3 linked regions of the Anolis sagrei genome follow. The protein of the gene in region 3 binds, or shares a complex with, the protein of the main gene of each other region. Links are inferred from orthologs where the notes say so. Each region holds a gene or a part of one and is shown on either strand. Other genes may lie near its edges. The genes, in order: CHUK, IKBKB and IKBKG.

Region 1 (7,611 bases), on a different chromosome or scaffold from region 3:
CTGGAATGGAAACTGATGACAAGACCACTTGGAAAAACAAGGTTCTGGTATAGATCGGGTTTTCCCTTAAAAACTGTGGTGCAAAGCAAAGACGAGCCATTGGTGGCTGGGGGGGAACGCCGTTCTCTTTCAGTATTCCTAACCATGGACTTGCACTTGGTTTTCTTCTACAGTTTACTGAAGTCAGCTTTCTTAAAGTCTAGAATGCATGTTAACCATGCTTCATTCCCCCTTTCTGCTGTATAACAAACTCTAGAAGAACATGGTTACTCCCACTTAAGGAATCCACTATCTCTATCCCATTTACCCTGTCATCACTGTTGGTTAGGATCAAATCTAAAATAACTGATTCCCTTGTTGCTTCTTCCACCTTTTGGACCATGACGCTGTCTGCAAGGCAAGTGAGAAACTTGTTGGACCTGATGTTCTTGGCAAAGTTTGTCTTCCAACCAAATTAGGATGGATACCTAATACTTCAGAGGACAAGATCAGAACGTTAGCATTTTTGAAAGGATGTCCATACTGGGAGAGATCAAGCTCGTTTTCAACTGCTCTAGAGACTACGGCATAGAGCAATGGATTGAAATTGGAGGGGAATTGAAATTCCACCTAAATATGGAGGAATTTCCTGATGGTTAGAATAGTTGAATATGCTGTCTCATCACATGATGGAGCCTCTGGCCTGTTGGTAAAGAGGACTGAGTGTCAGATATGTGGACCACAGATAAATGTGAAGATTTTCTGGAATGTTCTTGCCTAGAAAAGGCTCCCCTGAACAGAGGCATCAGGGATCACATTGTAAACATGTTAGATAATGGCATACACCAAAGAATTTCAGCATCTGCTTTCCAAATTATAGCAAAATTTCTGATTGTGTAGATCATGAAACACTATCAATCTGTAAGACTTGAATTCATAAAAGGGTGACTAGAGGTCACTCATGGGGCTGGCCGTGAACAACAGTATGTCAACAGCGTGACATGCATTTACATGACAAGGCATTCTTATAGTTGTGCCAAAAACAGTGCAAACAGTCTTCTGCCTTCGCCACATCCTCTCTGCAAATCATGCAGGCACAAGTGCACCTGTACAATGTGAATCCAAGGTGAGAGTGATGGTGTAAAGTGCACCCTTTACGTAACTATCACTTTTTTCACCCAATGTTTCTGTACCAGCCAATTCTTATGACAGAAGTTATGAGTTGAGTAATGGTTCTTAAAAGTATTTATGAACTTGTATATATTATATATACAAGTTATATATTATATATACCTCATATATTATTCCATTTCAGTACATACATGTATACTTTTTGAAGCAACAAATACGGAGATCTACTGTATACCTAAACAGACTTTTGTTTTCACCTCCAGCGATATTGGTTTTCTACTAACACAGAAAACAGTTTGATTAAAAACTTCAAGAAAAAAATAAAATGCACTTCATTGTGCTGGAAGCAATTTTAAAAACAGCTCTTACATTTCCCCTTTATTATATTTTAGTGTGTGTGTGTATATGTGTGCGTATAATATATATATATATATTTGGGGGGCAATGTTCTTGAAACATCTTAAGAAAATTTATTTTAAAATATGTATATTGTAATTTATTCAGATGGTGTATATAGAAGTAAGGTGTATATATAGAAGTATTTTTCAAAATTGTATAATATTGTTCCATTTTGGTTAACACATTTCTAAATGAAATCAAACTTGTACAATTGGTATCTGTCTAAATAGCCCCCCCCCCCCCACTTGTGCTGATTAGTTGATTCACTGAATTAATTCGATTTACCAATGCATCGGCTCATCATTCAACAACTGACTGAATGGCTGATAATGAGTCTCATTATCAGCATTATCACCACCACCATCAGCATGTAGTTGGGACTAATAAAAGGGCATGCCAGCCACATAGACATAAACAAAAATGTGTTGGAAAAACAAAGTGAGAACTTACTTCTTCATGATCTGGATTTCATGGCACCACCGATCTTTGTTTTTCACACTTAGTTCCAGACGACAAGACTTGATTGCTAACTTTGTACCTAAATCCTGTCTTGCAGAAGAAAGAATTAAAACAGATCACCACAAAAATCACTGCCTTTAACAGCCTCCCTGAACCACAAACCCCAGAATTCTGCAGGAGGCAGAAACTGGATTTAAAGTGGATTCGTTCTCTAGTGTGATGAAGTACTCACTCTCTGCCAGGGTGACATCCCTGTCCACGGCCTCATCAACCCAGAGAAGAAGCATTTACCGTCTTCTGCTTCCCCTTTGCCATCGCTGCACCGCCTTCCCTTAGAATCATAGAGTTGGAAGAGACCTCATGGGCCATCCAGTCCAACCCCCTGCCAAGAAGCAGGAAAACTGCATTCAAAGCACCCCCAACAGATGGCCATCCAGCCTCTGTTTAAAAGCTTCCAAAGGAGGTCTCCACCACACTGCGGGGCAGAGAGTTCCACTGGTGAACAGCTCTCACAGTCAGGAAGTTCTTCCTAGTGCTCAGGTGGAATTTCCTTTCTTGTAGTTTGAAGCCATTGTTCCGCATCCTAGTCTCGCTTGCTCCCTCCTCCCTATGACTTCCTCTCACACCTTTATACATGGCTATAATGTCTCCTCTCGGCCTTCAGGCTAGACATGCTCAGCTCTTTCAGCCGCTCCTCATAGGGCTTGTTCTCCAGACCCTTAATCATTTTAGTCGCCCTATTCTCAACATATTCCAGCTTGTCAACATCTCCCTTCAATTGTGGTGCCCAGAAGAGAGATATTGTCAAGCTGGAATGTGTCCTTTCTTTCCTTTTTCCTCCCTCCTTCCCCACCAAACCCAGCACTCATGGCACAAGCCAGGAGCAGGGCCCTCAAGTCAGTCAAAGGCTGAGGAGCCCCGTCCTCCAATGACCACAACCCAAGGGCGAAACCCCCGCCAAGTTTGCGACCCCGGCGACCCACCCGGTGCTGGTAGAGGGAGACGTTGCCGAAGCCGCCGGTGCCGAGCCGCTCCCGCACCTCCCAGGGCTCGCAGGCCGCCATTCCCGGAGGGCCCCCGCGCCCCGGCCCCGCCGGCAGACCCTCCATCCGCCCCCCCGCCCGCCTGCCTGGGCCAGCCGCGGATCCCCAGGGCAGCCAGCCAGCCAGCTCTCGCGAGACCTGGGACGGGAGCGGAAGTGGCCTCAGGGTGTGGGCTCTTCCCCTTCCGGGAGATGCGCGCAGAGAGAGGGAGAGAAGGTAGACAGCCCTTGCGCAATCGGTATTGAGTTTCTTGATTCTGGAAGGCAGGTGGGAATGGCTGGAGAATATACAAGCAACCCTTAAGACAGGAACAAGATAGGCCGGAAGCATTAGGTTGCTGCGAGTTTTCCAGGCTGTCTGGCCATGTTCCAGCAGCACTGTCTCCTGACTCTTCGCCCACATCTGTAGCAGGCATCCTGTGAGGTCTGTGTATTGTCGAAGGCTTTCATGTCTAGAGTCACTGGGTTGTTGTAGGTTATTTCGAGCTATATAGCTATGTTCTAGAAGCACTCTCTCCTGACGTTTCGCCTGCATCTATGGCAAGCATCCTCAGAGGTTACGACCTCACAACCTCTGAGGATGCTTGCCATAGATGCAAGCGAAACGTCAGGAGAGAATGCTTCAAGAACATGGCCATATAGCCCGAAATAACCTACGACAACCCAGTTGTGAGGTCTGTTGGAAACTAGGCAAGTGAGCTTTATATATCTGAGGAACAGGGGCGGCTCAACCCATCACGCAAAGTAAGCATTTGCAGTATAGTTGATTTTGCCCAGGGGCACTCTTGAGGCGCTCTTGGGGAAAATAGACCTTGACAAATGCAAGTTACTGGGATGTATAGTTCACCTAAAATTAAAGAGCATTCTGAACTCCACCAATGATGGAATTGAACCATATATGGCACACAGAACTCCCATGACGAACAGAAAATATATATCAATGATTGGTTGGTGGGGGGGGGGGGCACCAAAATACTGTTTGCTTACCGTTGAAAATTACCTAGGGCCGCCTCTGCTGAGGAATGTCCAGGGTGGGAGAAAGAACACTTGTTGTTTTTTTGAAGCAAGTGTGACTGTTGCAATTGGATACCTTGATTAGCAAATAATAATAATAATAATAATAATTTTATTCTTATATCCCGCCACCATCTCCCCAAAGGGATTCTAGGTGGCTTCCATGGGGACCAGGCCCAGCAAAAACAGAAGTTAAGATATAGCACAATTAAAATACATTGAATTTCAATAATTAAATTTTGTTTGTGTTTTTAAATACATTACAACTGTACCCTCGGTTCACTTCTGATATGATAAATAAATGTAAATAATTAAAACAATGAAACCTAACAACAAACATCATGAAAACATAAGAACATCAATAACCATCAAGCAGTAGCTGAGAAGAATGGGCGTGTTCAGATCTAGGAGGGCACTAGCAAGGGCTAATGCAACAGAGCTGTAGGGGCGAGTAATAAAGTGCTACAAAGCCGGACAATAAGTTAGAGCTAGAGGGGCCTAGTCAATAGATGAACCGGTTAGTCAAAGGCACATTGCAACATCAAAGTTTTCGGGTATTTTCGGAAGGTGGACAGGGTGGGTGTTACTCTAATCTCCCTGGGGGAAAAGTTCTGGGGGGGGGGGGGCACCAGCTTGAGAATAAAGTCCACCTAGGAAAAATATAAAAATATTCTTACCATACATCAAGGGAACCACTGACTGCATAGGGAAATTAATGAAGAAACATAACTTCCAATCAATCTATAGGCCCTTCCAAGAAAATCCAACAAAAGCTATGTTCAGTAAAGGACAAAAGGGATCCTCTCACCTCTGCAGGAGTCTACCGGATACCATGCAGCTGTGGACATGTCTACAGAGGGACCACCAAATGCAGCATTGCCCAAACACGAATCAAGGAACATGAAAGGCACTGCAGACTACTTCAGTAAGAGAAATCAATCATAGCAGAACACATGATAAACCAAGCTGGGCACAGAATATTATGTGAAAACACAGAAATGTTGGACCACTCTGACAACCACCATAATCAGACTATACAGAGAAGCCATTGAAATCCACAAGTATGTGGACAATTTCAACTGAAAGGAGAAAAACATAAAAATGAACAAAATCTGGCTACTGGTATTCCTAAATACCAGAATCAAGTCAGCAAATAAAGAACAACACTCAGAAACGGGAATTTCAGCCAGCCAACAATCAAGTGCCAGTTAACACCTCCCAAACAAAGAATGCTCCCAGGCAACAATAGCCAGGCTTTTCAGCTGCAAGGCTACCCAATTGCTAATCAAGATTACAGCTGCAAGGCGTTTCGATGCTAATCAAGGTGGACAATTGCAACATTCATACTTGGCTCAAACGACAAGAGTTCTTTCTCCCACCCTGGACATTACACAGATATATGTACACCCCACATGCCTCATTTCCACAGACCTTTGAGCAAACCTTTGGAGAATGCCTGCCACAGATGCAGGTGAAAAATCAGGAGAGAATACTACTAGAACAAATACGCAGATAATCATATACATGAACGTTATTAGGTGCCAACTTTTTTATAGTGTGCTACCGATCTTGTATTCCACCTTGGGGGGAAAGAACAAGGAAAGAAGAGGGGCCCATAGATTTTAAAAAGCATTTTAGCATCCAGTCTCTCTCACACAATAAATAAATACAATAAATCAGTTAAACAATTCAGCATATATTTTTATACCTCTCTACATGCATCCACCACCCATGGGACATATATTCATACTGAATACTCTCCAAATGTATTCTCCCCTACGAACCATCAAGACCACTAAGATCATCTGGAGGGGCCCTGCTCTCAGTCCCTCCACCTTCACAGGCACGGCTGGTGGGGACGAGGGACAGGGCCTTCTCGATGGTGGCCCCTCGACTCTGGAACTCCCTGCCATTAGAGATCAGAACTGCCCCCTCCCTCATGACGTTTAGGAAACTAACAAAGACCTGGTTGTGGAACGCGGCATTTGACAACTGATTTAATTCTTTGCCCACATGAAAGGAGGATGATGAATGGTATTGTGATGGTGTCGGATGATTTGGCTCTTTTAACTGTGATGATAATGTTTTAACATGTATAGTGCTGATATTTTAACCGTGTAATGAAGTGGCATTGTGTTGTTATTGTATATTCTTTGTATGTTAACACATGTTGTGAACCGGTCCGAATCCCTCTTTGAAGGTGAGAGGGTCGGTATATAAAACCTCGAAATAAATAATAAATAAATAAATGAATATTAATTATTCTGATATGAGCATGCATTAAAGATTTCCTCTGACCCACTTCTATTTATCACAGGATGCTGAAACTGCACATGTGTAATGATATCAGTCTCTATAGGTTACGTGCCAATTTACAACTCGGAACTGAGAAAAATCTTGATTTGACAGGTGCTGAAATGATGTGAGGTTTGATAATGGACCCAGTGGAATACAGAGCAGTCATCAAGTTTGTTTACTTGAAAGGCTGCACACCAAAGGAGACTTTTTCTTTTCTTTATTCAACAGATTTGTGCCTCATTTTTTTTGTTTAAATCTAACCGTCTTTTTATGTCGCTGGTGGGCTAGGCCACGCAGTTCTGTTACGACTTGACACAGGTCATCAATTTCTTCAGGTGGAACAGTGTGCAGTGTTTTCAGTATTTTCTGGCAGTTTGTTAAGAGCTCTCTGATCTTCAGAATCTTGCTTCGTTCTCTCACAGTTTCACGATGTTTAAGTAATGGAAGCATGTTTGGATCTTTCAACTGCAAAAGTCACAGACAAGTGTTAATGTTTCATCATTATTTTAACCAAGTTAATCATTTTCACTAAAATTTTCACATATAGAAATTCTGCTTCATATATTATATATTAACAATCTGGAAACACTCCTGGATTGATATATGAGCTCAGATATTATAATAATGAAATGCAGAATCCAGAACTGTGGCCAGAGATAGATGCAATTTGGTACATACTGATGAAAAGCTGAAGGAATGTTCATTATACATGTGTATTTTTCCTTCAAAGATATAGAAATATGTGTGTGAGTGATCAGAGTCCCCAAATGTAGTTTATGTTTTTCTTCATAGACTACTAGCTTTTCCTGCCACGCGTTGCTGTGGCCAGCCTTCTCTCCCTCTTTCTCTGCTTCTTTCACTCCTTCCTTCATTCCGTTTTCTTCTTTCCTTTCTTCCTTCTCTACCTGGTTACTTCCTTCCTTAGCTGTTTGCTTTCATCCTTCCTTCTCCTTATTTCTTTTCTTCCCTGCGTCTTTCTCTCCTTCTTTCTCTTTTTCCTTTGCTGCGTCTTTCCTCGCTTCCCTTTTTTCTTTCCTTCTCTCCTCCTTCCTTCTGTACCTCTTTCCTTCCTCCTCCCTTTTTTCCTTCCTCTTTGTCTCCTTTCTTCTTTCTCTTTCCTTCCTTCCTTCGCTCTGTAGTTCCATACTTCCTTTTCTTTCTTTCTTTCCTTCCCTCCCTTTCTCTTCTTCATTTGCTTTCTTTCCTCCCTTGCCTTTTCTTCCGTCCTTTCTTCCTTCGTTCCTACACCTTCCCTTCCGCTCCTTTCTTCTTCCTTCCTTCCTTTCTCC
Region 2 (7,423 bases), on a different chromosome or scaffold from region 3:
GACTCAAACAATGATGGATCTGGACCAAACTCTACACAAATACTCAATATGCTCAAATGTGGACACTGGTGGAGTTTAGGGAAAATAGAATCTTGACATTTGGGAGTTGTAGTTGCTGGGATTTATAGTTGACCTACAATCACAGAGCATTTGAACCCTACCAACAATAGAATTGGGCCAAACCTCCCACACAGAACCCCCATGACCACCAGAGTGGGCCACAGCAACACGTGGCAGGGGACGGCTAGTGATTCTATAAAGTCCAAAACACTTGGAGGGCTCAAGTTTTATGGGGTCCAAGAAAGGCCCATTCGCAGGATGCTTTCCTTCCGCAACCCCCGGCTTCCCTGCCCGGCTCCTCACCGTTTCATGATCTGGATTTCCAAACACCACCGTTCTCGGTTGCGGAGGCTGAGCTCCTGGCGACACTGTTTGATTGCAATCTGCTCCCCCGTTTCCTGTACGAAAATAAGATGCCAACAATGTGATGAACGCAGCACACTGATTCTCAAAACTGCCTCCCAAAACCTGACAAATAAATGCTTTTGGAGCCTTCAGGGAGTTGTTCTTGCAAGGAGATTTTGGAAAGGGCAAAAACGATATTCTGAAAAGGACAAGTAGCAGGGGATTATGAGAGGAACGTCGACAAGTCCATTTTAAATCGAGAATTTCATTATGCATTTAGTCTTTTTAATGTGTATCTTGTATGTGTTTTGATAGTGTTGTTGTGTGTGTTTTGATAGTGTTTACCGACTGTTAGGAATTGTGGGAGTTGTGGGAGCTTCGGGAGACAGTGGTCGGGCATCCGGACAACATTGGCAGTCCAGTGGAGTTGATGGCGGAGGACCATCGCTTCAGTGCTGGTGGTCTTTGCTTCTTCCAGCACACTGACGTTTGTCCGCTTGTCTTCCCAAGATATTTGCAGGATTTTCCAGAGGCAGCGCTGATGGAATCGTTCCAGGAGTTGCATGTGATGTCTGTAGACAGTCCACGTTTCGCAGGCATATACCAGGGTTGGGAGGACAATAGCTCTATAAACAAGCACCTTGGTATCCCTATGGATGTCCCGGTCCTCAAACACTGTCTGCTTCATTCAGAAAAATGCTGCACTCGCAGAGCTCAGGTGGTGTTGGTCAACATTTTCTAATGTTACACCATTAAGCTGTATCTCTGGCATTGGAGAGGGGTTGGCAGGAAACTGCTGGAACAGTACTTTGGTTTTTTTGATGTTCAGTGACAGGCCGAGCTTCGTGTATGCTTCTGCGAAGGTGTTTAGAGTGGCTTGTAGATCTTCTTCTGAATGTGCACAGACGACATTGTCACAAGCATACTGGAGTTCTGTAACAGATGTTGTTGTAACCTTGGTTTTGGCTTTCAGTCTGCTGAGGTTAAACAGCTTGCCATCTGTCTGATTATAGATTATTTCCACTCCGGTGGGAAGCTTCCTATCAACAAGATGAAGTATAGCGATGAAGATGGAGAATAAAGTTGGGACAATAACACATCCCTGTTTGACGCCTGATTCCACCTTAAATGGGTCACTTTGGAAGCCGTTGCTATCCAAGACTGTTGCCATCATGTCATCATGGAGGAGCCACAGGATGTTCACAAATAAAAGAATTACATAAATTCGAAACCATTACTGGATGAGGATGAACAAGCTGAAGATCAATCCCGACAAGACAGAGGTCCTCCTGGTCGATCATAAACCGGATTGGGGTATAGGGTGGCAACCTGTGCTAGACGGGGTTACACTCCCCCTGAAGTCACAGGTCCGCAGTTTGGGTGTCCTCTTGGATTCATCACTTACGCTTGAGGCTCAGGCGTCGGCGGTGTCCGGGAGGGCTTTTGCACAATTGAGACTTGTGCGCCAACTGAGACTGTACCTCGTAAAGGCTGATCTGGCTGGGGTGGTCCATGCCTTGGTCACCTCTAGATTGGACTACTGTAATGCACTCTACGTGGGACTGCCCTTGAAAATGGCTCGGAAATTTCAACTGGTCCAACGGGCGGCGGCCAGGCTGTTAACTGTCGCTCCTTACAGAAAGAGGTTAACCCTCCTGTTTAAAGAGCTCCATTGGTTACCGTTCATCTTCCGGTCCCAATTTCAGGTGCAGGTGCTCACCTACAAAGCCCTAAACGGTTTGGGACCCGCCTACCTGCGTGACCGCATCTCCATATATGAACCCACATGTTCCCTTCGATCATCTGGAGAGGCCCTGCTCACGATCCCACCTGCGTCTCAAGCGCGTTTGGTGGGGACGAGGGACGGGGCCTTCTCTGTGGTGGCCCCCCGACTCTGGAACTCTCTCCCCAAGAACATCAGACAAGCCCCAACTTTGACAATCTTTAGGAAGAGCCTGAAGACCTGGCTGTTCCAGTGTGCCTTTCCAGAATAGGAAACTCCCGGCATCATGTCCCAAACGCACTTTGTTAGAGACCAGGATTGTCTGCACATTGCACCTACCTCCAAAAATCGTTACATACCTCCTGTCAAGTTCAGCACTTTTAAATTTTGTCCATTACATTTGGCCCGGCCTTCTAGATTTTAAATGCATCATGGTGTCATTGTTTTTAGTGTTTTATTGTCTTTGCTTGATGTTTTATTGTTTGCTTATGAGTTTTATTGTTATATTTGTATGTTGTTGTTTGTTGCAGCCTTGGCCTTTATAAGCCGCATCGAGTCCTTCGGGAGATTTTGCAGGGTATAAATATAGTTAACAATTAATAATAATAATAATAATTTTCCATGTATTGTCGAAGGCTTTCATGGCCGGAATCACTGGGTTGCTGTAGGTTTTTCCGGGCTATATGGCCATGTTCTGGAGGCAATTTTTCTCCTGACGTTTCGCCTGCATCTATGGCAAGCATCCTCAGAGGTAAAGAGGTCTGTTGGAAGTAGGAAAAACTAGGTTTATATATCTGTGGAATGACCAGGGTGTGACAAAGGACTTTTGTTTGCTGGGGCTAGCTGTGGATGTTTCAGCTGATCACCTTGATTTGCATTTGAAAATTGCATAATTTTCCAGATCACCAGTCTGGGCCACAGCAACGCATGGCAGGGGACAGCTAGTGCTTCCTATGTCCCATCTGCATGGGGGTATTGGGGTAACTTTGGCCTTACAGAGGGATGTGGACTCCAGCTCCCAGAAGACTCAGCCAGCATTCTGGGAGTTGAAGTCTCAGCCGCAAGCCACGCCCCTCTGGCCCTCCCTCCCTCCCTCCCTGACTCACTTTGTGCTGCCAGCGGATGACGTTGCCGAAGCCCCCGGTGCCGAGCCGTTCGCGCATCTCCCAAGCCCCGCAGGAGGCCGTGGGCTGGAGCGGTGGAGGAGGCGGAGGCGCCATCGCAAACCAGCCCGGCTTCTCCTCACGGGGACACCGAATACAACCCCCCTTCCTCCTCCTGCTTCTGTTTCCTCCCTCAGCAGCAGGACTAGGCCGCGCCGCTCTCCTTCCGCGTCTTCAGGAAAAGGGAGGCGGGCCCCGAGGGAGAAAAAGACTAGGCCGCGCCTTAAAGGGACCGCAGCATTAAAAAAAAAGAAAAACAAATAGATCAGTGGTTATTATTATTATTATTATTATTATTATTATTATTATTAAACTTTGTTTGTACCCCGCTAGCATCTCCCGAAGGATTCGATGCGGCTTACACAGGCCAAGGCCTCAACACACAACACAACAATACAATCTAAGCAAATCAAACAATTAAAAACAGAATAAAGCAAAATAAACAACAGGCACAATACACTAAACACAATAAAACTGGGCCGGGCCAGAGTAATGGGTACAAGATTAAAAGTGCTGATGTGACAGGAGATGTATATAGGGTGACCCCCCCCACCACCACCACAACATGAGGAACTGTATTGAGGGGTCGCAGGATTAGGAAAGTTGAGAACCATTGTTGTTGTTCATTTGTTCAGTCGTCTCCGACTCTTCGTGACCTCATGGGCCAGCCCACGCCAGAGCTCCCTGTCGGCCGTCACCACCCCCAGCTCCTTCAAGGTCAGTCCAGTCACTTCAAGGATGCCATCCATCCATCTTGCCCTTGGTCGGTCCCTCTTCCTTTTGCCTTCCACTTTCCCCAGCATAATTGTCTTCTCCAGGCTTTGCTGTCTCCTAATGATGTGGCCAAAGTACTTCAGCTTTGTCTCTAGTATCCTTCCCTCCAGTGAGCAGTCGGGCTTTATTTCCTGGAGGATGGACTGGTTGGATCTTCTCGCAGTCCAAGGCACTCTCAGAACTTTCCTCCAACACCACAGCTCAAAAGCATCGATCTTCCTTCGCTCAGCCTTCCCTAAGGTCCAGCTCTCACATCCATAGATTACTACAGGGAATACCATGGCTTTGACTAGGCGGATCTTTGTTGCCAGTCTGATGTCTCTACTCTTTACTATAACATGAGGAAACAACCAGGCACATCTTAACACCTCTCAACAAAAGATTTTCCCAGGCTCAGGCAGGCCTTCAAATGCTAATGAAGGTGGCCAGTTGAAACATTCACACCTAGCTCCAGCAGAGAAGAGCTCTTTGCCCCACCCCAGCCATTCCACAGATATATAAACCCATTGTCCTATTTCCAACAGACCTCACTACCTCTGAGGATGCTTGCCATAGATGCAGGCGAAACGTCAGGAGAGAATGCCTCTGGAACATGGCCCTATAGCCCGAAAAAACCCACAAGAACCTAGTGATTCCAGCCATGAAAGCCTTCGACAACCATAACATTATTTTCATTGCTACTTCATACATTTTGTAATTTTGCTATTGTTATTAATCACAATGTGAAAACATATCTGATATGCAGTGTGTGTTTTCATTCATTAACTGGAACAAAGTTGGCAAAAATATCCACATTTGAATACTGGTGGGGTTGGATGGGGGAATGATTTTGTCATTTGGGAGTTGTAGTTGCTGGGATTTATAGTTCACCTACAATCAAAGAGCATTCTGAACTCCACCAGAGATGGAATTGAATTGATGCGGCTTACAAAGGCCAAGGCCTCAAAACACAACACAACAATACAACACCTAAAGCAAATTAAAAACAATAAAAGCAATATTAAACAACAAGCAATAAACAATACATCAAGACACTATAAAACTGGGCCGGGCCAGAGTAATGGGTACAGAATTAAAAGTGCTGATGTGACAGGTGATATGTAAGGATTATAGGGTAAGTGCAGTGTGCGGTGTGCAGCAATCTTAGTTCTAATAAAGTGCTTCTGGGACTTGTTATTGGAGATTCCTAATCTGGAAAGGCACATCGGAACAGCCAGGTCTTCAAGTTCTTTCTGAAGACTGCCAATGTAAGGGCCTGTCTAAGATCTTTGGGGAGGGTGTTCCAGAGTCGAGGGGCCACCACAGAAAAGGCCCTGTCTCGCGTCCCCCACCAAACGCACCTGCGACGCTGGCGGAATCATGAGCAGGGCCTCTCCAGATGACCGAAGTGAGTGCGTGAGTTCATAAATGGAGATACGGTCACGTAGGTAGGATGGTCCCAAACCATTTAGGGCTTTGTAGGTAAGCACCTGCACCTTAAATTGGGCTCTGAAAATAAATGGCAGGCAGTGGAGCTCCTTGAACAAGCATTGGTGAGCACCCTCTGGGTTCATCCATTTAACCAATTACAGATCCACCTCACCGTAGTGTTGCCTAGCCCACATTGGAATAGTTTGTTTGCCAGAAGGTCATGGGGAACCTTGTCGAAGGCCTTACTGAAATCCAGGTATGCTTCATCCACGGCATTCCCCGCATCTACCCAGCTTGTAACTCTATCAAAAAAAGAGATCCGGTTAGTCTGGCATGACTTGTTTTTGATAAATCCATGTTGACTTAATAAACCATTAAGCTGTATTTCTGGCATTGCAGAGGGATTGGCTGGTGCTTGCTGGAAGAGTACTTTGGTTTTCTCAATGTTCAGTGAAAACAGTACCATATAATCCTGTTCAAAGCTGATCATCTGGATTCAGAGACGAGTATAGGGCAGTGTAGTTTGGGCCTGTGATATGATGTAGCCACAGGAGGGCAGCATCTGCTCTATTTATAGATAAAATTTATGCGTAGACAGAAGTCTAAGATTTGTGTTTTGCATCCTTGGCATGAGGCAGAAAGTATTACTACTGTGATTTCTTTTTCTCATCCTCTTCACTACACAAACACAAAAACATCCTAAGGAAAGCATGCCCTCATACATTTATCCTCTGCTCTGGATTTTCCGTTGCAGAACTACTCCAATGTCCAGATGGGATCACATCTTCCTGCAACCTTACCCACTCCTTCGCACTTTGGTAAAATTTCCCCTTTTCCGTGCTTAATAATGTGGCCATTAGGTCAAGCTTTGCTAGACAGGCAAAGAGGCTTCAATGGGATGCTTTTAATGCACAAACCATGTCAACAATCAATTCAACTTTGTGTTTCAAAAGGCATCTTCTCTGTCACAATATCAGGAGTTTCCTTTTTGCATCTAAAAAAGGTGTTTCCATTTGGAGGATTGGTAAGGAGACTGGATGGCCATAAAATTATTTATGAATTGTAATGTAAATATCTGCTACACAGGATATGTTTTCATTCACTGGTCCAAATTTGGCACAAATACCTGGAACGCCCAAATTTGAATCCTGGTGGGGTTTGGGGGGAATTGATTTTGTCATTTGGAAGTTGTAGTTGTTGGGATTTATCGTTAATCTACAATCAGAGGGCATTCTGAACTCCACCAAAGATGGAATGGAACCAAACTTGGCACACAGAACTCCCACAACCAACAGAAAATACTGGAAGGGTTTGGTGGGCATTTACCTTGCGCTTTGGAGTTGTAGTTCACCTACATCCAGACAGCATTGTGGACCCAAACAATGATAGACCTGGACCATGCTTCGCATGGATACTCAATATGCCCAAATATGAACACTGGTGGGGTTTGGGGGAAATAGACCTTGACTTTTGGGAGTTGTAGTTGCTGGGATTTATAGTTCACTTACAATCAAAGAGCTTTCTGAACCCCACCAACGATAGAAATGGGCCAAACCTTTCACACAGTACCCCCATGCCTTGAAGGGACTCACTGGCGCAAGCCTCCCTCCAGCATCACATGCTCTTCCTTGCTCGCACATGCGCACCACGCTGCCATGTGCTGGGTATGCCTGCTCTCCCCTCCCCTGCTTGAAAATTTAAAAACAACCCTCCCCTTGGTTTTGAGGCCAGCTGAGAGGCCAGTCACTCACAGCAGAGGAGGGCTTTGGTGGGAGGATTCCCCATCTGTTTTCAAAAAAGAACAGAAGGACAGGCAGAGAGATCTTCAGCCTTCTCTGCCAAAGGGGTTCCTAAGACCCTCAGAAATACATGTTTTCTAATGATCTTTGGTGAACCCTCTAAAAACTCCCTCGTGACCCCCCCCCCCCTCCCGCGATCTCAACTCCCA
Region 3 (7,513 bases):
AATAGTCCCAAAACTCCCATCTATTGTGTCCTCACCTTTGAGGTCTCTGTTCTCAGCCAGCATATGCTGCACCGCTTCATGTCCAGCCAGCTCAGCTGGCAGGTGAAGGGGGCCATCTCTGCCAAGAGAAGAGTCATCCCCCATCATGATGCAATCGCTGTGGGGGCACCCGCCTGGCTGTACCATGTCACAGCTCCAGCCACCGTGGCCTACACTCATTCATCCAGGTCCTGGAAATAAAAAGCATGATGAAGAATGGGATGGACATGCACACAGAGCAAAGCCTAGCTCATTCAGTCACATAAACATCAATCGACCATTGCTCTTGAATAAGAGGAGAGGAACAGCAGGATTTTGCCTTATTTCTCTCTGTGGTTATAAAATACTTTTACTGGGCTATCAGATAGTAGATAGTAGCACATACATCTAAATCCTTCTCTATACAAGCAAAAATGGCTGATGCATTACTTAATAGCATGTCTATGAAAATTTTAAGTTTGAAACTTTATCCCTTGATCACAGATATTTCTTCTTGTATGTTTTACATGGCGGAGTACTGAATATGAACCTCCTGGTCATGGGCTGAAATATGTAAGAAATACATATTCACAGAGATAGCTAGCCTTCTATGGCCAATTATAAAGAGAAAACAAAGAAACTGAATTCTTGTGTCCCATAAGATGCCTAAGGATAGATTTCTAGCACTGACACTTGGATTTAGTGTAGCGAATAAATTGTATAAATTGTTAAAGGAATGGTATTCTATGTAGTCACCTACGGATGTGAGAGCTGGACCATAGGGAAGTCTGAGCGAAGGAAGATAGATGCTTTTGAACTGTGGTGCTGGAGGAAAGTTCTGAGAGTGCCTTGGACCGCGAGAAGATCCAACTAGTCCATACTTCAGAAAATAAAGCCTGACTGCTCATTGGAGGGAAGGACAGTAGAGGCAAAGATGAAGTACTCTGTTCATATCATGAGAAGACAGGAAAGCTTAGAGAAGACAATTATGCTGGGGGAAATGGAAGGAAACAGGAAGAGGGGCCGACCAAGGGCAAGATGGATGGATGGGATCCTTGAAGTGACTGGATTGACCTTGAAGAAGCTGGGGGTGGTGACGGCTGACAGGGAGCTCTAGCGTGGTCCATGAGGTCACGAAGAGTCGGAAACAACTGAACAAATGAACAACAATACATTGTGGGACAGATAGCTTGTGACTCTTCAGATGCTGAAGGACTACAACTCTCAACATCCCTACCTAGTAGTTATGTCTCATGGGAGCTGCAGTCTTACAGCATTTGGTGGACCACAGCTACCCATTCGTGTAACATGCAAGAGAGACCTAGATATATAATATATAAGTCCAGCCACAAAGCTTCCTGGGTGATCATGACCCACCTACCATCTCAGCCTAATTTATGACAGTGTTATTGCATTTTTTTTGAGTGGGCACATAATGAGGTTCATGGATACCACTCTATATTCTTTAACAACAAAAATGTAATATATACAAAGGATTATAAGGAGGAGCCTATCAACAAGTACTAAATGTAACTACAGACAGTCATAGAATCATAGAATAATTGTGTTGGAAGAGACCTCGTGGGCCATCCAGTCCAACCACGTCAAGAAGCAGGAAAATCACATTCAAATCACCCCTGACAGATGGCCATCCAGCCTCTGTTTAGTTTTAGAGTAGTGGTTCTCAACCCCAGGTGTTTTGGCCTACAATTCCCAGAAATTCCAGTCAGTTTACCAGCTGTTAGGATTTCTGGGAGTTGAAGGCCAAAACATCTGGGAACCCACAGGTTGAGAACCACTGAGTATTTATTTGAATGATAATTTTAACATCCTACAAGGAAAGACTATGTAACCTATTTGGGTTAATTGCAATGGTCTAGTTTATGTTGTATGTTTCTGTGCTGTTGTAAACCGCACAGTTTATTGATTTTATCTTGTACTAGCCATCCCCTGGCTCAGTCTGTGTATGTGTGCTTTGTATGTGAATGTGTGTCTATATGTGCATGTATATATGTGTGTTTGCGTAGATATATGTGGTTTTGTGCATGCGTTGTAATGTATTTTTTTTAATTTTTTGGCTTTTTAAGTCTCTTCTGCTGTGTTTTTTAGCGTTTTATGAGTGATGGTCACTGGCTGGCCCGATACGTGTATTGTGTCCAAATTTGATGTCAATTCATCCAGTGGTTTTTGAGTTATGTTAATTTCACAAATGAACATTACATTTTTATTTATATAGATGATGATGATGAGGACAGCAATTGCCTTAACTTATAAGAGAGAGACATTTTTATACTTTTATATTTTTACACTGGAGGGAAAGATACTAGAGACAAAGTTGAAGTACTTTGGCCACATCATGAGGAGACAGGAAAGCCTAGAGAAGACAATTATGCTGGGGAAAGTGGAAGGCAAAAGGAAGAGGGGCCGACCAAGGGCAAGATGGATGGATGGCATCCTTGAAGTGACTGGACTGACCTTGAGGGAGCTGGGGGTGGTGACGGCCGACAGGGAGCTCTGGCGTGGGATGGTCCATGAGGTCACGAAGAGTCGGAGACGACTGAACGAATGAACAACAACAACATATTTTTACACAGATTTTAGCTGCTTAATGTGTTATTTATGAGGCCTGTTTGATAATATGTTTTAGCCAATGTTGGCTAAGACTCTATGAAACTACATCTCCCAGGAGTAGTGTCAGACTCCCATTGATTCTCCACCCAGAGTCGTGTTAGGGGGAGAGCCTGGACAATTTGGGATACAACTCCCAGAATCCCCCGAGGGAACAGCCATCTGCCCTACCGAAGGGGGGATTCTGGGAGTTGTAGTCTCTACAAACAAACTTATCATCTGCCAAAGAAGGGATTTCTGGACTTGCTCCCAGAAAAGGAAGACCTCAGCCAGGCTTAGCCCACTTTGCACTCCTCTTGAGCTCCCAAATGCCATGTATATTATAGTTTTTGGACCCCAGGCACCTCAGTTTCACTTTTAGGGCAGGAAGGAAGGGCTCCTGTCCGCACACCTCCTTCGGGCGGGAGTCACAGGCTCAGTCCCCAGTCTTTGACACCCCCTTCCCAGCTCCTATTCCCTCCTTTCACCGCCTGAGTTTTACGAAAAACAGAGAGTCGCACCTTTCCTTTCGACGCCAGCCTGCCCAATGCCGCCGTCTCCTCCCGCTTCCTCCTTCCTGGAACCTTGTTTTGGTCTGATCCGGAAGTGACGTCCAGAAAGAGAAAGCAACTCCGGGAATCGAAAGGAGCAAGACCGAGGCGGAAGTGACGTCAGCAGACGGCCAGACTCAGAGAGGGAAAGCGAAGGCGAGAAAATGGGCCTGGTCTTAGAGCTGGGAGGGGGAGCCCCTTAGTGCCTTTCATGGCGGGATTGAAGAGGGAATCACCCCAAGAAGGAAATAAAGAAGGAATGTGTGGACATAGAATCATAGAATCAAAAAGTTGGAAGAGACCTCATGGGCCATCCAGTCCAACCCCATTCTGCCAAGAAGCAGGAATATTAAATTCAAATCACCCCTGACAGATGGCCATCCAGCCTCTGTTTAAAAGCTTCCAAAGAAGGAGCCTCTACCACACTCCGGGGCAGAGAGTTCCACTGCTGAACGGCTCTCACAGTCAGGAAGTTCTTCCTCATGTTCAGATGGAATCTCCTCTCTTGTAGTTTGAAGCCATTGCTCCATTGCGTCCTAGTCTCCAGGGAAGCAGAAATCAAGCTTGCTCCCTCCTCCCTGTGGCTTCTTCTCACGTATTTATACATGTCTATCATATCTCCTCTCAGCCTTCTCTTCTTCAGGCTAAACATGCCCAGCTCCTTAAGCCGCTCCTCATAGGGCTTGTTCTCTAGACCTTTTATCATTTTAGTTGCTCTCCTCTGGACACATTCCAGCTTGTCAATATCTCTCTTGAATTGTGGTGCCCACAACTGGACACAATATTCCAGATGTGGTCTAACCAAAACAGAATAGAGGGGTAGCATTACTTCCCTAGATCTAGACACTAGACTCCTATTGATGCAGGCCAAAATCCCATTGGCTTTTTTTGCCGCCACATCACATTGTTGGCTCATGTTTAACTTGTTGTCCACGAGGACTCCAAGATCTTTTTCACACGTACTACTCTCGAGCCAGGCATCCCCCATTCTGTATCTTTGCATTTCGTTTTTCCTGCCAAAGTGGAGTATCTTGCATTTGTCACTGTTGAACTTCATTTTGTTAGTTTTGGCCCATCTCTCTAATCTGTCAAGATCGTTTTGAATCCTGCTCCTGTCCTCTGGAGTATTGGCTATCCCTCCCAATTTGGTGTCGTCTGCAAACTTGATGATCCTGCCTTCTAACCCTTCATCTAAGTCATTAATAAAGATGTTGAACAGGACCGGGCCCAGGACAGAACCCTGCGGCACTCCGCTCGTCACTTCTTTCCAGGATGAAGAGGAAGCATTGGTGAGCACCCTCTGGGTTCGTCCATTCAACATGAAACACAATACATTAGCACTAACAACTAAATTATGCAGACCGATTAACTGGCCTCTTCCAGAAAATTAGAAACATTGGAGGTAAATTTCAGGCAAAAATTGGTATGATAAGAAACAAAGATGGCAGGGACCTAACAGAAGCTGAAGAGATCAAGAGAAGGTGGCGAGACTATACAGAAGATCTGTATAGGAAGGATAATAATATCGAGGATAGTTTTGACGGTGTGGTGAATGAATTAGAACCAGATATCCTGAGGAGTGAGGTTGAATGGGCCTTAAGAAGCATTGCTAACAACAAGGCAGCAGGAGACGACGACGGGATCCCAGCTGAACTGTTTAAAATCTTGAAAGATGATGCTGTCAAGGTGATGCATGCCATATGCCAGCAAATATGGAAAACACAAGAATGGCCATCAGACTGGAAAAAATCAACTTATATCCCCATACCAAAAAAGGGAAATGCGAAAGACTGCTCCAACTTCCGTACAGTGGCCCTTATTTCTCATGCCAGTAAGGTAATGCTCAAGATCCTGCAAGGAAGACTCCAGCAATACATGGAGCGAGAGTTGCCAGATGTTCAAGCTGGGTTTAGAAAAGGCAGAGGAAGGAGAGACCAGATTGCCAATATCCGCTGGATAATGGAGAAAGGCAGGGAGTTTCAGAAAAACATCTATTTCTACTTCATTGACTATTCTAAAGCCTTTGACTGTGTGGATCATAATAAATTGTGGCAAGTTCTTGGTGGGATGGGCATACCAAGCCACCTTGTCTCTCTCCTGAGGAATCTGTACAAGGACCAAGGAGCAACAGTCAGAACTGACCACGGAACAACAGACTGGTTCAAGATTGGGAAAGGCGTACGGCAAGGCTGCATATTCTCACCCAACCTTTTTAACTTGTATGCAGAACACATCATGCAAGGATGTGTGGGGCTGGATGAATGCAAAGCTGGGGTGAAAATTGCTGGAAGAAACATTAACAACCTCAGATATGCAGATGACACCACTCTGATGGCCGAAAGCGAGGAGGAGCTGAGGAGCCTTCTAATCAAGGTGAAAGAAGAAAGCGCAAAAGCCGTGTTGCAGCTAAACATCAAAAAAACCAAGATTATGGCAACAAGAATGATTGACAACTGGGAAATAGAGGGAGAAAATGTGGAGGCCGTGACAGACTTTGTATTTCTAGGTGCAAAGATTACTGCAGACGCAGACTGTGGCCAGGAAATCAGAAGATGCTTCTTGGGAGGAGAGCAATGTCGAGTCTCAATAAAATAGTAAAGAGTAGAGACATCACACTGGCAACAAAGATCCGCCTAGTCAAAGCCATGGTATTCCCTGTAGTAATCTACGGATGTGAGAGCTGGACCTTAGGGAAGGCTGAGCGAAGGAAGATAGATGCTTTTGAGCTGTGGTGTTGGAGGAAAGTTCTGAGAGTGCCTTGGACTGCAAGAAGATCCAACCAGTCCATCCTCCAGGAAATAAAACCCGACTGCTCACTGGAGGGAAGGATACTAGAGACAAAGCTGAAGTACTTTGGCCACATCATGAGGAGACAGCAAAGCCTAGAGAAGACAATTATGCTGGGGAAAGTGGAAGGCAAAAGGAAGAGGGGCCGACCAAGGGCAAGATGGATGGATGGCATCCTTGAAGTGACGGGACTGACCTTAAAGGAGCTGGGGGTGGTGACGGCCAACAGGGAGCTCTGGCGTGGGCTGGTCCATGAGGTCACAAAGAGTCGGAGACGACTGAACGAATGAACAACAAAAAGAGAAAGAAAACATGGAGGCAGTGACAAATTTTGTATTTCTAGGCCTAACGATTACTTCAGACGCAGTCTGCAGCCAGGAAATCAGAAGACACTTACTTCTTGGGAGGAGAGCAATGACCAATCTCAATAAAACAGTGAAGAGTAGAGACATCACACTGGCAACGAAGATCCGCATACTTAAAGCAAGGGTATTCCCCGCACTTCTCGGCCTGTCATTGAACATCGAGGAAACCAAAGTGCTGTTCCAGCAGTCATTAGCCAATCCCTCTCCAATGCCAGAAATACAACTTAATGGTGTAACATTAGAAAATGTTGACTATTTCCACTACCATGGCAGCCACCTCTCCACAAAAGTCAACATTGACACTGAAATACAACACCGCCTGAGCTCTGTGAATGCAGCATTTCTCCGAATGAAGCAGAGAGTGTTTAAGGACCGGGACATCCGTAGGGATACCAAGGTGCTTGTTTATAATAATAATAATAATCATCATCATCATCATCTTTATTTGTACCCCGCCACCATCTCCCGAAAGGCGATTCGGAGCAGCTTACATGGGGCCAAGCCCGAACAAGAATACAATATAACAATACAAATTGCAATAAAATAAACAACATAACATTAGATATAAAACATCAAAGCATATAAAAATAGCATTTGATGGCCTGGCAGTGCCTGGGGCAATCTTTTGTTGAGAGGTGATTAGATGTCCCAGATTGTTTCCTCTCTGTTGTTTTGCTGTTGTAATTTTAGAGTTTTTTAATACTGGTAGCTAGGTTTTGTTCATTTTCATGGTTTTCTTTTTTCTGTTGAAATTGCCCACATTTCAATGGCTTCTCTGTGTAGTCTGACATGGTGGTTGTTAGAGTGGTCCAGACCTCACTACCTCTGAGGATGCTTGCCATAGATGCAGGCGAAATGTCAGGAGAGAATGCCTCTAGAAGATGGCCATGTAGCCCGAAAAAACCTATAACAACTCATATATTTATCCTTTTATTCAAACTTTTGAATTGTTTTCAACTTGCATTGTTTTTAATATGTTGTTAACCACCTTGAGCTTCAGTTTTGGGAGAAAGCCAGAATTATTGCTGTTGTCATTATTCCAGTCATTTCTAACTTGCAGCGACCCTAAAAAGGTAAAGGTAAAGGTAGTCCCCTGACATTAAGTCCAGTCATGTCTGACTCTGGTGTGTGTTGCTCATCTCCAGTTCTAAGCCGAAGAGCCAGCGTTGTCCGTAGACACCTCCA

What was found.
Region 1: IKBKG (region 3) and CHUK share a complex: the UniProt entries of both Homo sapiens proteins name them as parts of the I-kappa-B-kinase (IKK) core complex. The link is inferred for Anolis sagrei from reciprocal best matches to the Homo sapiens genes IKBKG and CHUK.
Region 2: the proteins of IKBKG (region 3) and IKBKB are in contact, whole or in part, in a crystal structure (PDB 3BRV), measured with the Homo sapiens proteins. The link is inferred for Anolis sagrei from reciprocal best matches to the Homo sapiens genes IKBKG and IKBKB. Residues at the interface, in NP_001093327.1 of Homo sapiens: Arg62, Ile65, Arg66, Asn69, Leu72, Arg73, Arg75, Cys76, Leu79, Phe82, Gln83, Gln86, Lys90, Leu93, Met94, Phe97, Ala100, Arg101, Val104; in NP_001547.1 of Homo sapiens: Ser705, Leu708, Glu711, Ala712, Leu715, Cys716, Leu718, Leu719, Ala722, Ile723, Asp725, Thr726, Glu729, Gln730, Gln732, Phe734, Leu737, Asp738, Trp739, Trp741.

The regions. Positions count from the first base shown.
Region 1 is NC_090023.1:141,577,359-141,584,969, reverse strand, and holds the start of CHUK (inhibitor of nuclear factor kappa-B kinase subunit alpha), read right to left. Parts: upstream 3,156-7,611; 5' UTR 3,078-3,155; coding exon 2,952-3,077; intron 2,055-2,951; coding exon 1,960-2,054; intron 1-1,959. Other genes in the region: ERICH6B (glutamate-rich protein 6B), read right to left, coding at 6,560-6,787.
Region 2 is NC_090027.1:24,635,938-24,643,360, forward strand, and holds the start of IKBKB (inhibitor of nuclear factor kappa-B kinase subunit beta), read right to left. Parts: upstream 3,488-7,423; 5' UTR 3,349-3,487; coding exon 3,235-3,348; intron 459-3,234; coding exon 364-458; intron 1-363.
Region 3 is NC_090022.1:174,520,637-174,528,149, forward strand, and holds the start of IKBKG (NF-kappa-B essential modulator), read right to left. Parts: upstream 3,252-7,513; 5' UTR 3,147-3,251; intron 231-3,146; 5' UTR 220-230; coding exon 36-219; intron 1-35. UniProt on the Homo sapiens protein: Regulatory subunit of the IKK core complex which phosphorylates inhibitors of NF-kappa-B thus leading to the dissociation of the inhibitor/NF-kappa-B complex and ultimately the degradation of the inhibitor.